Linked DNA regions of Astyanax mexicanus. The protein of the gene in region 1 purifies or fractionates together with the protein of each later gene. This does not show direct contact. Links are inferred from orthologs where the notes say so. Each region holds a gene or a part of one and is shown in the gene's direction. Other genes may lie near its edges.

Region 1 (7,278 bases):
CTTTTGTATATTAAGAATTATTAAGAATTAAGATGTGACTGAACACGCTTCACCTCTGATCAACTATCAGTAATAGAAATGCTGCATCTCAGAGCCGAACACGACTATGCAAACTATGCAATGTTACAGTAGAGCAATAATAATAATAAAACCCTCTTCTAAGAGAGCATATCATGGTTAAAGCTCAGCCTGCAAAAAAAAAATCTAAAATCGCAATCGTTTGTTTTTTTAAGATTTGTCAGATTTTCTAAAGGTTCCAACAGCTGGTCTTCATGTAACAGTGTTTTCCCAAGGAAACACAGCGAAGAGTTCTAAGATGTGTCACTATTTTTGCGGAAACAAATCATCTATATATATATATATATATATATATATATATATATATATATATATATATATATATATATATATATATGTGTATATATTTTATAAATTTTTTTCTTTACTATAGTGTGTTTATGAGAAATGTATGTGTGCCTGCTTACGTAGTGTGTGTGTGTGTGTGTGTGTGTGTGTACGCGCAATTATCAACGATAGACAACACACTGAATATTTTATGTATTTATTGATCCTAGAGAGAGAGTGGTCAGAGCTCATGCTTATGAGAAGCCATGTGGACTCCGTGTGTGCTACAAGGAGAATCAGAAGAAGAAAAACGATGACTGTAGCACTGAACAATCTTGAAGTTCTTTTTATTATCAGTTATTTTATGAGCTGTTCGCCATAAATTACATTTTATGATTGTTTGTTTGGTTATATGTTTGTTTGTTTTTTATGTTTGTAATGCAGCCCCATCATCACACACACATGCATTAACAAAGTACATATTTGTTACTGGACCTTGAATGGATTTAGTCCAGTTTGAATTATTAGATGATTTATTTTTTTTTATTGCATGTCTAATTAATTTTGGTGGTTACCAGTTCTTCTCTTTCTCAGGGGCTCTTCAAATTATGCATATGTAAAAAAAGAAATAAATCCAAGCTTTGTGGGTGAGCTAGCTACTCGCTCTCGTTTCTACAGCAAGCAAAGCAGTCACTACAGTTACTACATGCATACGAATGTGAATCTCTTCAGGAAACCGACCGCCTTTGGCTTCATCTCAGCGTTGTCCTCATTTTCATCATTGTCTTTCTCGTGATTCTGCATGTTTTAAACCTTTCAGCTGTTTTGTGTTTTGTCACTGTCAAACGACTGCATTTGTTAAAGGGATTGCACATGTTTTGTCTCACGTTTGTTCAGTTTTAGAAAGCTAGAGTTTTTTTTTTTTTTTTTTTTTTTTTCAGCCCTGTTATCTCCGATACAATCATTCAAACAATAAATATACACTAAGAAAGAGTGAGAAATTCAACACGACTCGGTTCTTCTTTTAATAGGCTATATGGTCAAAAATATTAGTACACATGCTCGTTTTTTATTTCTTTTTTCATTTTTTAGACCTCAATCGCACTAATGCTCTGTTTGCTGAATGCAAAGTTCACCACCCCACCTGTTCCACAACCCATTCCAAAAGTATCTCAGAAAATATGCTCATGAGGGGCTATTACAGGTAGCCCAACTGGGAACCAGAATTTTTTGTCTTAACGATTCCATATTTACCCCACATACAGTATGCATGTCTCAGGGTCAGCCACTCCATTGCAAAGGCCAATTTCTCCAGCCTGTCACTCAGTCAGCTGTATTCTCCTTGCTAAGCCCTCCTGTAGCCCGAACAAAGCTGTTCATACCTTCTGCTTCAGCTTTACAACAAAATGTCTTGATGAGCGAACCAATTGAAATACTTAAAAATTACCTAAAATTAACTTTTTTTTTTTAACATTGACTTCCATTAAAAGTTCAGATGTTTTTGTCTCTTTTATTCATTGGACACTGACAGTATATAAAAGTCCTGTCCAAGAACACATAAAATAACTTCACTAATTATTAATCTCTCCTGATTGGGTAAAAAAAATGGTCAGGAGTCTTGGAATCCAGCAATAAACAATCAAAAAGGAAAACACCATAAATAAATACAATCAAGTTCAAACAGTGACACAGCATTTAATAAATACAAATAAATCACACCCACTTTAAATTAAATCCAAACACAATTACATTATTTCAATATTGCTCTACTAAATAAGCAAAATATGTATGTCCATTACGCTAGATAGAAATGCTATACAATTAGGGTTGGTTCTGCTGTTTGACTGTATGATAAACTATCCTCTTATATCATGTTTAATCTGTAAATAGCCATAACAACTATGGCGTTTTTTTGTTTCCTCAAAAACTACAAAAATATTTAATTATTAATCAGCAAATATTTTAGGAATGTGTCAGTATTTTTTTTCTGCACATCTTTATAATAATGAATAACGAAGAGGATGGGGTAAGTTCTGCCAAATCAAAAAAAAAGTTTGACGTGTCTAGATTAATAACTTAAAGAGGCACTAAAACCCTCAGCTAAAATTTAAAAAAGGCTAGTTTGGGAGGGGTATTGGGTGATGTATGGGAGAGCTGATTGGCTGAGCTGCAGCAGCAGCAGCCGTGTGTCTCTGATAGTGGTGAGATGCAGATGGTTGGACTCATAGACTTGGACTTCAGCAAGGGGGCGGTAGTATTAATAGACTGATCTGCATATTTTGATATGTCTACCAAAGTATCCACGCCTATACCACAGACAAACCTGTGAGGCGCTGCAGGAAAGGTTAGGAAATGTTTCTAGAAATTTAGGCAGATTTGGTATGTTTTACTATAGACATCATATACGTATAAGATATCTATGTGTTTTACTACTATAAAGGAACACATTACAGCTATTAATGGTAAATATATGGTTTAGGGTTTAGTGGCTCTTTTAAAATATGATTGGGAAAGCTGAGGAAGAAAAATGTCCTTCAAGTCCTCCTCGAAAATTCATACTTACGAGTTTGGAGACGAATTTACGACTTTGGTCGGGTAGAAGTGGACGCCATAAGGAAAATCCTTTTGTTTATACTTTTGGTTTATTATCATAAAAAAAGGAGATTACTTTGCCCTACTCCAAGAGAATGAGGCGAATAAGACACGCATTAGAGTAATTGATGTTTTTTATCCCGTTAGAACCGTCATACTAGACTTTTACGTTATTTCACGTATCGCTAGTGATTTTATTAGTAAGCTAATAACCTTCAAGTGTTTAAGTGTTAAGCAGTTTACAATACGAACTGTCTGCATCAATTTATTGAATTTATTTATCAGTATCAGAATGTATTTTAATCAATTTATTGACAAGCCCCCAACTTGGAAACTCGGGGCTTATCTAAAAAGTCTCCCAATGGTAAATACGAGTTTGTAGTGGCGTTCATGTGCTCTCATCTCGTAAATATAATATTTCTGATACAACTTGAAGGCAGCAATTATAAATTGAAATCTTTTTAAGTTAATCGGTAGAACAAAATATTTAGAGACAACAAAAATATAAAAGAAATTGTATTAAACTGAAGCGATGAAGCCATACGAAGCTGCGAATATACAGCCAAACGAATCTGGAGCTGCGAATAAACCAACTTCAGCCTCGTGGTTTCTTTTCAGTAAGGAAAAGATTTTCGAAATATTATTTTCTACTCATTCTCATTTTTACTTTAGGAGCTTTATGTTTATAGAGCAATCCTTGATGTAATAAAACGACATTTTATTATTAACTGTTTAGTAAATTCATGTTCCCAGAATATCCCTTTCAGACCCGAAATATATCCAGCGTTAAAAAATGCACAAAAATGTCTGTAATGCACAGAAAAGAGCACTTCAATATTCTATTATAAAATCTATATAAGCAAACAAATTCAGTTAACTAATATATATATATATATATATATATATATATATATATATATATATATATATATATATATATATATATTATCTTTTATTTCAAGTGCATTGAAAGCCTATGTGTAATATTTTATATTTTTTAATATTGACGTTTTTATTTCATAAACAGTTTATCTCTAAACTGAAAAAAAAGAGTTCTAAATCTGTTTCAGTGGTATATAAACTTGTTATAAACTTGCTTTATAGTCCATGATGGAGAACAGCTCTTAAATAGAGTTATGTGCAACAAAACATTTAAAATAAAGGAAATACATGGTGTCCATTGTAATAGATTCTAAAAGGAATATTACTAAACGATTCATTCAAACCTGAGGTATTCCTGCTGGTGATTAGCATTTTGCGTTTGACTTTTCCTGCTCTCAACTGATCCCTCTCGGCACCCTTACCCACGCTGTGCTCTGTGTGTTCAGTTCAGGTGGAGTTTAGCTAGGTTAGGCTAACCTGGTTTACCTGATTGTGGTGTTTTATTTATTGTATGTTCTGTGTGTTCAGTGTTGAGGATGGACAGTTGGAGCTGTAGAGAGATGCCGCAGATCGTCCCCGGACAGTTTGACGACGCGGAGGAATCTGGAAGGTATGGAAGTAAACATTAGCTATAGGCTAACAGGCTAACTGTGTTTATCACAGCTCACCAGTTCAACAGATACTGAGGGTAACTTACTTTCACAGGCATTCATTAATGTTACATGCTGTTCTGTGCTGTTAAATAAATGCGCTGAACTATTAATAATTATTAGTTCCACCTTAAAAGACTCAGCATGCAGCTCTGCTTAAGGTGGAACGGGGAAACCCAAATTCACTTCATGATTATGTAAAGTAGGAGGACAGTGAGTCATATTTTCCGGGACATACCAGCAGAGAGAGAGATAAAGAAAGAAAGAGGGAGAGAATAAATTGGAGGCAGAACAATGAAGATAAATATTGGGTGATACAAACAACAAGAGAGAAAGAATGAGAGAAAAATAGGTGAGAGAATGAGAGAAAAGAAAGAACAAGAGAATATTGCTGATGAAGTAAATACTCAATGATATTCTAATTTTTGAGATACACTCATAAATTGAAATAATGAGAGAGAAAGTGGGTGAAAGAGCAAAATAAAAAAGTGAAGAGAAATGAGAGCGAGAGTGAAAAGAGTGGGTTAAAGTGGTAAATGGAGTGTCAGTAGGTGGATATATATGAAGAAACATGTAAAAAGAGAGGATGATAGAAACAAAGAAAGAATAAGAGGAAAAAAGGGTAATGGAAAGAGATGGGAGTAAGAACAAGGGAATAAAGAGGGGTAAAAAAGAAAGAGGGAAGAGGAATATTCAAAGAATAAAGGAGAGATGGAAGAAAATGAGTGGGTGAAATATAAAATATAAAGAGAAAGGGAAATAAAAAGAGTAAAAGTGGGTGACAGAGATACAGAGAGAATGAGAGAAAGAGAATGGAGGAAGCGATGATCACCATGAATGACTTGTTTCTGGTAATATAAACACCTGCTCGGACTGAACCTCAGTAACGTGAATGTATATCTGTTTTTATTCTCCAGTGACTCAGAACTCAGTCAGAGCACAGACAAACCTGCAACACTGGAGACCAAACTCAGTGGAGTGAACCTGCAGCCCTCACCCATTAAACCTCTACAGCAGGGCGGTGATATTGCTGCTGATGATGATGTAGATGAAGATGATGATGATGATGAAGATGATGAAGATGATGATGACTATGATGAATGGGACTGGAGTGGGTCATCTGGAGGGAATATTACTAAACGCTACACTGCAGTGAGGACTGGAAGCAATCCACAGGTATTCCATTAACAAAATATACTAAAATTTCTTTACATTACAAAATTAAGTGGGTTCAAACTGAAAAAAAAGATTCTTTTGATTTCTGACTAGCATAACATTTTATAATGTTGTGCTTTTCAAATTTAGTGTTTTATTATTTATACGTTGGAAAGATTTGTTCAGATTTTTGGTTGTTTTTTGTTGTTAAAAGTTGTAAAAACCAGAGCAATCTTTACATTATTGACTTTTTATATAATATATAGACATAAACTTAATATTTATTGCTGACCCCAAATATTGCCCATTATGTGTACTTAGCGAGGAGATTCCATTATTGCAGATGAGCATGTCTTACAAAACTGCCAATATTTTGTCCACTACCAATTTGGGCGGCAAGGTGGCTTAGTGGTTAGCACGGTTGTCTACCCGTCTCTGTCTGGGTGGAGTTTTCATGTTCTCTTAGTGTCCATTTGGGTTTCCTTCAGGAACTTTAGTTTCCTCACACAGTTCAAAAAGGTAGGAATCAGGTAAATTGGACTGTAAATCACTCTAAATTGCCCAGAAAATTTGGTGTGTGTGGAGGTGGTGTAGATATGCATTCTTCTGTTTCTGGTATACACTGCCTTGCAAAAAAAAAGTCATCACCTGGATTTAAGTAAGTAAATGATGTGGGGTTGATGCTGCAGTTGGTCAGGTGTTGGTTCAGCAACAGTATGTGCTGAAAGAACGAGGTCAGCTGACTACCTGAACATAGACCAGCTTATTCCATCAATTGATAAGTTCTAGGATTCATGAGGCTGGAATTGTGAGAGTGATACAGGGAGCATGAGATCATCATTTTCACACATGGATTGTTCACTAGACCTTAACCTCATTGAGAATCTTTGGGATGTGCTGGAGAAGACTTTGTGCAGTGGTCAGACTCTACCATCATCAATGCTGCTGCAAGATCTTGGTGAAAAATTAATGCAACACTGAACTGAAATAAATCGTGTGATGTTGCAGAATCTTATTAAAACAATCACACGGTCAATGCGTGCCGCCCAGGCAGTGTTTAACTTCATTTATTCAATGTCTGAATGTTTCTAATTTGTATGTAATTATTTCTGTGACAACATATCTATATATCACAATGTAGTCATTATTATTAATGTCTAGTTATTTTGAGCCTGTAAAAATTGTGGGACTTTGTTAAACCCAATGAACCGATGCCCCAATCACATCCTGTTTGCTTCATTTCAAACACATGAAGGTCATATACAGAGGCACAGTTATGAAAAGTGTTGTTTGTTTTGTTCCAGGCTAATCGACAGGGTTCAAAATCTGACAAGATGTCTACACCATCAGACAAAGTCCTGAGGAAGTTTGAACACAAAATAAATCTGGGTAAGTTGAGCGTATTTTGTGCTCAGTGAGTGAGTGTGTTCAATAAGAGGAAGGAAGTCTCGGGTTTGGGTTCGGTGATTTCAGTAGATGTAAAAATAAATACTTTCTATTCTTTCTCACACTCAGTAATTTCGGTTGCTTTTATGTTTCAGATAAACTGAACTATGCTGATTCTGTGATCAACAAAGTCACGGTGATGCAGAAACAACGAGATTCAGACACGTTAGTAGATGTTTTTTTTTTCATCATCTTATTTTCATTACGT
Region 2 (7,816 bases), on another chromosome or scaffold:
GAAGCTGAATGAAGCTCAGTGTTAGTATAGTTAGCATTAAAGCTACAGTATCTGCAGCAGTGTTGTATTAAAGTGAGTTAAACTCTCAGTTCTGGGCTTGTTCTGACAGGAGAGATCAGAGGAGCATCAGCAATAACAGAACATCACTGAGTCTGACCTGCCCGTACCGTGCCATACCGTATCACACCCAGAGAATATCATCATTTTAAATGTATATACAGCACTAATTACTCTGCACTTTAGTTTAGACACACCTTCTCATTCAATGTTTTTATTTTTAATATTTTTTCCTACATTATAAATTAATAGTTAAGTGATCTATCAGATTATAAAGGAACACATAAGGAATCATGTAGTAACTTAAAAACAGTGTTAAACAAACCTAAATACTCTTATCTGGGGAGCTGTTTGTTAACTTGTGCTTTCTGAGGCTGGTAACTCTGATGAACTTCCTGTACAACAGAGGAAATCTTGCTCTTCCTTTCCAGGGCATTCCTGATGAGTGCCAGTTCCATCATAAAGTTTTCAATGTTTTTTGCGGTGACTGCACTTGAGGATACTTTCAAAGTTCTTGAAATTGTTCAGATTTTTCTGCTCTGTATTTACAGCCACAGTGATTTAAACGTATTAAATAGGTAATTGCGAACAGGCATTTATGAAGACTGAAGCTGAAGGTTATTATGGGACGTGGTTGTGTTGTTGCAAAGATCTGAAGGTGCTGGAGTTGTTTTCCTCAGCCTGGGGCACAGTAATCATATGGCAGTGTGTGTTAGTGTGTGTGTGTGTGTGTGTGTGTGTGTGTGTGAGGGTGTGTGAGGTGAGGTGACGATGTGTGTTCTGGGTGTGGTGTGCAGTAAAGTGTAGCCTGAAGGCACTGAATCTGCGGTACATTCTCCAGTGCAGGTATGAACCAGCCTCAGGTGTGTGTGTGTGTGTGTGTGTGTGTTTTCTGACTCATCTTTTTCTACAAAAAGCCAGACAGAGGCAGACACACCCAGCTGCCGGTCTCCATGGCGATGAGGTGTGTCGTGGTTTGGTGGGATGAATCAGTCTAAAACCCCAAATCAGAAAATGTCAGGATGATATGCAATCCGATGCTTTACCTAAATGAGATAAAAACACCAATAAATAATGAAGGCCCTGTCTTACAACATGTGCATGATGCGTTGTGATGCTCATTGCTATCTTACACCTTGTCAACAGTCTATTTCCACTCGTTCCTCCTGCATTGTTTAAATAGCAACAGTGCTTCTGAATATATCTACACTGATGGGCGTGGTGGTCTGAAAATGAGGTTCAGGTAAATTTCTGGTTTATTGCTATCTTGGCAACGCAACTGTGCCATATGTAGATCAACAATAAACAAAATAATAAATAAAATAACATTGCTGTTCCCGTAAATTAGCTGCTGGATCTCCTTCACAGCGTCAACCAGCAGCTCAGTTTCCAGGTCCAGGTAGCTGCACTGTTAAAATAGCAATCCGCCAAAGTCAGAGCTCACCTGATCTACTCTTAAAGAGAATGATGAGCTTAAAGTGACACTCTGATTGGTTTATGTCATGTTACACCCAAAATTAACCACACCCACGATTAATTAAGAGAATTAGTACATAACTTGAGTCATGCAAGGTGTACTTTTCCCACCGTTATGATAGCAAAGACACACCAACGCGCTCTAAATCAAGCTGCACAGTGCACGGTTGATGGCTTGCCTATAGATCGCTAAAATAGGACTACAAATTTTATAAAATATATATATATTTCATTATTGAATTAAGGCTGCAGGTGACATGACTATTTTTAGAAAATGAATATACTCAATATGCTGTTCTAAGCTACGGTGACTCAAAAGAAATAATGAAAAATAAAGTTAAAACCAAGAAGATGTACGTGCGCGCTCCCGAGAGGGGGTGCTTTTCCTGGCGGGGGTGCTGAAATCGGCACAACACTGGTTCTGGACCGGACTGACCTGTAATCAGCAGAGAATGTGTGAAAACGTTTTTTAACCAAAAATACGACAAATGTAACAATTTTTTAAACAAGCTGTTGCAGACAGACTGGGCTGAGGTTACATGTTGTGTGAGCTTGGAAATTCCTGTCTGCTGAGTTTAGTGTGTGTGTGTGTGTGTGTGTGTGTGTGTGTGTGTGCGTGTGTGTGTGTGTGTATAATCCAGCGTTACAGCCGGAGCGAGCCGGACGTCTGCAGTGTCAGACACATTAGCATTAGCATTAGCCAAGCCTGTCTGAGCCAACCAGCTTACTCACAGAGGAAATGTGTAAACAGTGTAAACACACAGTGGGCGGAGCATACCTGCACCAGCACACACACACACACACACACACACACACACACACACACACACACGCACACACACCAGTATAAACCTCACAGAGGGAAAGTGAGGGACAGTGTGGAGAGAGCTGTTCAGACAGGTCAGTGTGTGATTTCTCTGTTTATTCTTTATTCATTAAATAAAATAAACAAATAATCATTACTCTGTAGTTAGAAGTATAGAGTGTTTAATAAAATACTTAGAAGTAGAAGTTAAAGAAGAATCAACTCAAGCATTTTACTCTTTAAGTAAAAGTGTTTAAAAAAGTACTGGATTCAAAAATTATTTAAAGTATAAAAGTAAAAGTTTTGATGTGTTTGGTTGCTTTAAAGAGTTTCGTGGGTTATAACTGTATTGTTTTAATATGTTTGGTTGTTTTAAAGTGTTTGGTGTGTTTTATCTGTATTTTTGGTGTGTTTGGTTGGTTTTTAGTGTTTGAGGTGTTTTAATTGTATTGTTTTGATGTTTTTTTGTATGTTGTTTTGATGTGTCTAACAATTGTTTTGATGTATTTGGATGTTTGAATGTGTATGATGTGTTTTAACTGTATTGTTTTGAAGTGTTAGATGTGTTTTATCTGTATAGTTTTGATGTGTTTGATGTGTTTTAACGGTATTGTTTTGATGTGTTTGGTTCCTTTGATGTGTTTAATGTGTTTAAACAATATTGCTTTGATGTGTTTGCTTGTTTTTAAGTGTTTGATTTGTTTTATCTGTATTATTGTAATGTGTTTAATTGTTTTGAGGGGTTTGGTGTGTTTTATCTGTATAGTTTTTTTCTGTATGGTTGTTTTTATGTTGTTTTAATGTGTTTTAACTGTGTGTTTTGTATTTATTACTCATCAGGACGGTGGTTATGATGCTGATGGACAGTAGAGTGCTGGTGCCGCTGGCCCGGGAGCTGTTGTCTCTGAGGTTCAGGCCGGGGTTGCTGAGGGTTTACCTGGTGGGCTCAGTGTTGGCTCTGCTGGGGGTCGTGGTGGGCGTGGCCGACATGCTGCGTTTGACCTTCTGCACTGAGGACGTCCAGACTGGACCAGAGGAACAGTACGAGGAGCTGCTCGCAACCCTGCGGGAGATCACACACACACACTCACACACTCTCTCACACACACACACACTCACAGACACACACTCTCACACAGACACACACACTTACAGTGAACTGAGGCCCTCACTGCATTTTGAGGAGGAGAGAGGGCCCTTAACCTACAGGAGACCCCTGGAACACACACTCCCCCCATACACCCATCGTATGTAGCATCTTCTCAGCTCACTGAGAACATTTATCAACATTTTAAAAAGGTTCCATTAACGTTAAACTGTAACATTGCAGTGACGTTACCATGATGTTTAAAAATGTTAAGTAAAAACACTCTAAGAACATCCTGAAAATGTAAGAACATTAACCGTCAAGATCAGAAAATGTTCTATTAAGCAAAAACTGTTCCATGCATTAAAGTGTAGCGATGGATGTGTGTAACTTATTGATCTACTGTTTCCCAGAATGCACTGCAAATCAAATCAGCTGATGTTCTGTGTTTAATACTAGATGGCAGCTGTGTGTGTGTTTGCTATTCTTACATTATATATTTTTTGTATCTATAATTGTAAGTGTAAATTTTGTAAATGTATATTCATTATTATTTAGATTTTATTTGTATTTTATAATTTTAAAACTGTTCACATGAAAAATAAACAACCTCAAACAACCTTAATTACTTTTATTTTATTTTTTTTTTAAGAATAAAAAACTCAATCTGTTTATATGTAGATTTTATTGCGAGATATTTTGTGTTAAATTTCAGCTGAAGAACCAAAAACAACAGAGAGTTTGGCTGTTCAAATACCAAAGCCTGAATAAATACCTTGTCTTGGGAAATTTTCTTTTTTTAAATACATTTTCAAAGCTCATACATTTTTATTTCCAATGCTATTTACTAGCTGTAAGCTGTTAATCAGGGAACTGTTTCCTAAAAAAAATCCAATATAGTTTTACAATATACTGTTTATATAACATTTTTATTTTAATTTTTAGTTGTTTTCTTTTTTTAAAGGACTCTGCATTTTATATAGTTGGATTTCAGCTTCAAGATCACGGACTTTTACGTTGAAGTTGTACCTGCACTAAACGCCATTGGACAAAAAAAAAAAAAAAAGTTTATTTAATTATATTTAACGAACCTTAGATAATCAAAGTATGAGGTTTTTAATATGAGCGAGTTTTAAAATGTAATTTATTTTATATTATGAACTCTTATTTTATCGGGTGTAGCTGAAACTCGCAAACAACCATATCCGTCCATAAACCGGCTCTGATTGGACAACATTTTGCTTATATTTTCTGGATTATAAAAGCTCGTTCTGTTGGAAATGATAGTAATAATAATAATAATAATAATAATAATAATAATAATAATAATAAAAATATTAGTAGACTTTTATTCATTTAAAAGTGGGACTTTTATCCGGAAGCGGAAGTGAGTGGATGTCAGAGGCGCATGTACGCTGCTCCATCTCTCCGGCCATTCATTCGCGCGCTGGAAAAACAGACTCACAAACAAACCGGTAAATAAATAAACCGGTAAATAATCAGGTAAAGACTGAGAGCCGCCGCGCTGAGCTGCAGGATGCTAACCGAGAGCCGCTGGTGCCCCGCGAGCGCGCCCGCGTGCATGGAGAGACACCTGGAGACCCTGCAGTACAGAACAGGTAACTTACCTTAACTACCCTTACCTTACCTATAATTAGAGGTAAAATACACCACAGCCTGCTGCAGGAGTGAGTGAGTGAGTGAGTGAGTGAGTGAGTGTATGTGTGTGTGTGTGTTTGTGTGTTTGTGTGTTTGTGTGTGTGTGTGTGTGTGTGTGTGTGTGTGTGTGTGTGTGTGTTTTTGTGTGTGTGTGTGTGTGTGTGTCTGTCTGTGTTTCTCTCTGTGTGTTTCTGTATATCTGTGTGTTTCTGAGTATCACTGTTTCTGTGTATCTCTGTGTTTGTGTGTCTGTATATCTGTGTGTTTCTCTGTGTATCTCTGTGCATCTCTGTATCTCTGTGTGTTTCTGTGTGTGTTTCTGTATGTTTCTGTGTTTCTGTGTGTGTGTGTGTTTCTGTATCTTTGTGTGTTTCTGTGTGTGTTTCTGTATCCCTGTGTTTCTGTGTCTCTGTGTGTTTCTGTATCTCTGTGTGTTTCTGTATCTCTGTGTGTTTCTGTATCTCTGTGTGTTTCTGTGTGTTCTTTATCTCTGTATGTTTATGTGACCTGTATCTGTGTGTTTCTGTCTGTGTGTCTGTATCTCTGTGTGTCTGTATCTCTGTGTGTCTGTATCTCTGTTGTGTCTGTATCTCTGTTGTGTCTGTATCTCTGTGTGTCTGTGTGTCTGTATCTCTGTGTTTCTGTATCTCTGTGTTTCTGTGTGTCTGTATCTCTGTGTTTCTGTGTGTCTGTATCTCTGTGTTTCTGTATCTCTGTGTTTCTGTGTATCTGTATCTCGGTGTGTGTCTGTTTTTCTGTGTCTGTGTCTGTGTGTGTGTGTGTGTGTTTCTTTCTCTGTGTTTCTCTGTGTGTGTTTCGGTGTCTGTAAATGTCTTTTTGTGTCTAGGTTTCTCTATTTTTAAAGTTTGTTAATGTCTCTTTGTGTCTGTAAATGTCTTTCTAGGTCTGTAAATGTCTGTACATGCCTCTCTGTGTCAAAGAAGTGGGCTTGGCTTAACATTAAAAATATTCAAAACTGTGAGCAGTGTAATTATGGTTTCGTTAAGAAACATTCTTTCTTGTGTGTTGAGCAGTCTGATGGCCTAGGGGAAGAAGCTGTATTCTGAGCGTGTTTTGTCTGTGTTTTTCTCTCAGATGGGACTCTGCTGTTGGGGGCGTCGGGTCTGACGGGTCGGTGTTGGCTCGGTTCTCTCTGGGTGTTCAGTGATGCTAAACTCGCTCCTAACGAGGGTTACTGTAAGGCGGGGGTTCAGACAGAGGCGGGAGTTACCCACGCTGAGTGGCTCACCAACAGAGCCATCATCCTCGCCTCAGACTCAGGTGAGCAGAGGGGGGATATTGATCGATTAGTGATTGGTTCAGTGGCCAGTTGTGTTCTTTGCTAATGTTTCGCGTAATTGTCTTTATTTATGTAGGTGCTGTTGAATTATGGGAGCTGGCGGAGGACGAGCGTCTGCTGGTAAACAGGTTTACTCGCCATGAGCACGATCACGTTGTGACGTCAGTGAGCCCTACGGCCGACGCGGGTCACGCGGTCAGCAGCGGCATGGACTGCAGGTCAGCAGCATCAATGCTAACGTAGCTAAGAAGTAATCAAGGGTTATACCTCAACATTTAGCTTAGCATGCTAATGTATCTAACAAGAAATATAAGTTACCAATTACCACTGGAGCTAAAATAATGGATAATGTAGCTTCTTAGCTTAATCTTATATTATCACTGGAGCTACAAGAATACCGGTAATGTATCTAATAAGTAGTGGAAGTTTAAACTCACCAGCTTAGCTTAGCATGCTAATGTAGCTAACAAAAAATGGAAGTTATAAGTTACCAATTAGCACTGAAGCTAAGAATAAGGATAATGTAGCTTCCTAGCCATGAAGCTAATTGAAGCTTAAACTTGTGTTATTACTGGAGCTTTAAATGTTATGTAGCTTATAAGTAACGGAAGTTAAAACTCACCAGTTAGCGCTAAAGCTAATAGGCTAATAATCATCTCCAGACCTGAACCCTGTCAAAAACCTCTGGAATATAATCAAGAGGAAGATGGATGTTCACAAGCCATCAAACCAACAAATAAAGTTAAACTAGTTTTTTTTTTTTTTGTAGCAGGAGTAAAGGCATAAGATCACCCAAAAGCAGTGTGTAAGACTGGTGGAGGAGAACATGAAAGCTGTGATTTATAAAACAGGGTTATTCCACCAAATATTGATTTCTGAACGTTTTTAAAACGTTAGTATTGTTATTTCTTAATGAATATGAACTTGTTTTCTTTGCATTATTTGAGGTTTTTAACATTTCTCATTTTCTGCAAATGAAAATTCTAAATGACAAATTTATTATATTTCTATTTGGAATTTGGGAGAGATGTTTTCACAGAATAAAACAACAAATGTTCATTTTAATCAAACATATGCCTATAAATTGTAAAATCAGAGAAACTGATGGTTTTAAAGTGTTTCTCTGAGTTTAATGGATATTTGCTCTACATTAGATGGTATATGGCACTGTATGTGAGTGTAGCTCATGTGTTGTAGTGATGTTGGTGTTAATAAGAGCGAATCTTCTGTGTTTTTAGGGTTAAAGTTTGGGATCTGAGTCAGGAGACGGTGATCAGCAGCTACAGCGGTGAGAATACTTATACACTATACGAGAAAAACAAATGTATTTAGTTTAAAAGTTTAATTTAGATTCATTTTCATACATAAAGTGCGCAGGATTATAAGGCGTGACACTAGTAGGGAACAGGGGTTTCAAACGAGTGATGGATGT

Evidence for each region.
Region 2: the proteins of riok1 (region 1) and wdr77 purify together in Homo sapiens (affinity purification with mass spectrometry; 5 studies listed by BioGRID and IntAct, with this or other methods). This does not show direct contact. The link is inferred for Astyanax mexicanus from reciprocal best matches to the Homo sapiens genes RIOK1 and WDR77.

The regions. Positions count from the first base shown.
Region 1 is NC_064411.1:38,922,470-38,929,747, reverse strand, and holds the start of riok1 (serine/threonine-protein kinase RIO1), read left to right. Parts: upstream 1-4,219; 5' UTR 4,220-4,355; coding exon 4,356-4,429; intron 4,430-5,386; coding exon 5,387-5,645; intron 5,646-6,928; coding exon 6,929-7,013; intron 7,014-7,165; coding exon 7,166-7,235; intron 7,236-7,278. UniProt on the Homo sapiens protein: Involved in the final steps of cytoplasmic maturation of the 40S ribosomal subunit. Involved in processing of 18S-E pre-rRNA to the mature 18S rRNA. Required for the recycling of NOB1 and PNO1 from the late 40S precursor.
Region 2 is NC_064431.1:32,443,444-32,451,259, forward strand, and holds the start of wdr77 (methylosome protein 50), read left to right. Parts: upstream 1-4,810; 5' UTR 4,811-4,962; coding exon 4,963-5,044; intron 5,045-6,179; coding exon 6,180-6,365; intron 6,366-6,460; coding exon 6,461-6,602; intron 6,603-7,622; coding exon 7,623-7,672; intron 7,673-7,816. UniProt on the Homo sapiens protein: Non-catalytic component of the methylosome complex, composed of PRMT5, WDR77 and CLNS1A, which modifies specific arginines to dimethylarginines in several spliceosomal Sm proteins and histones.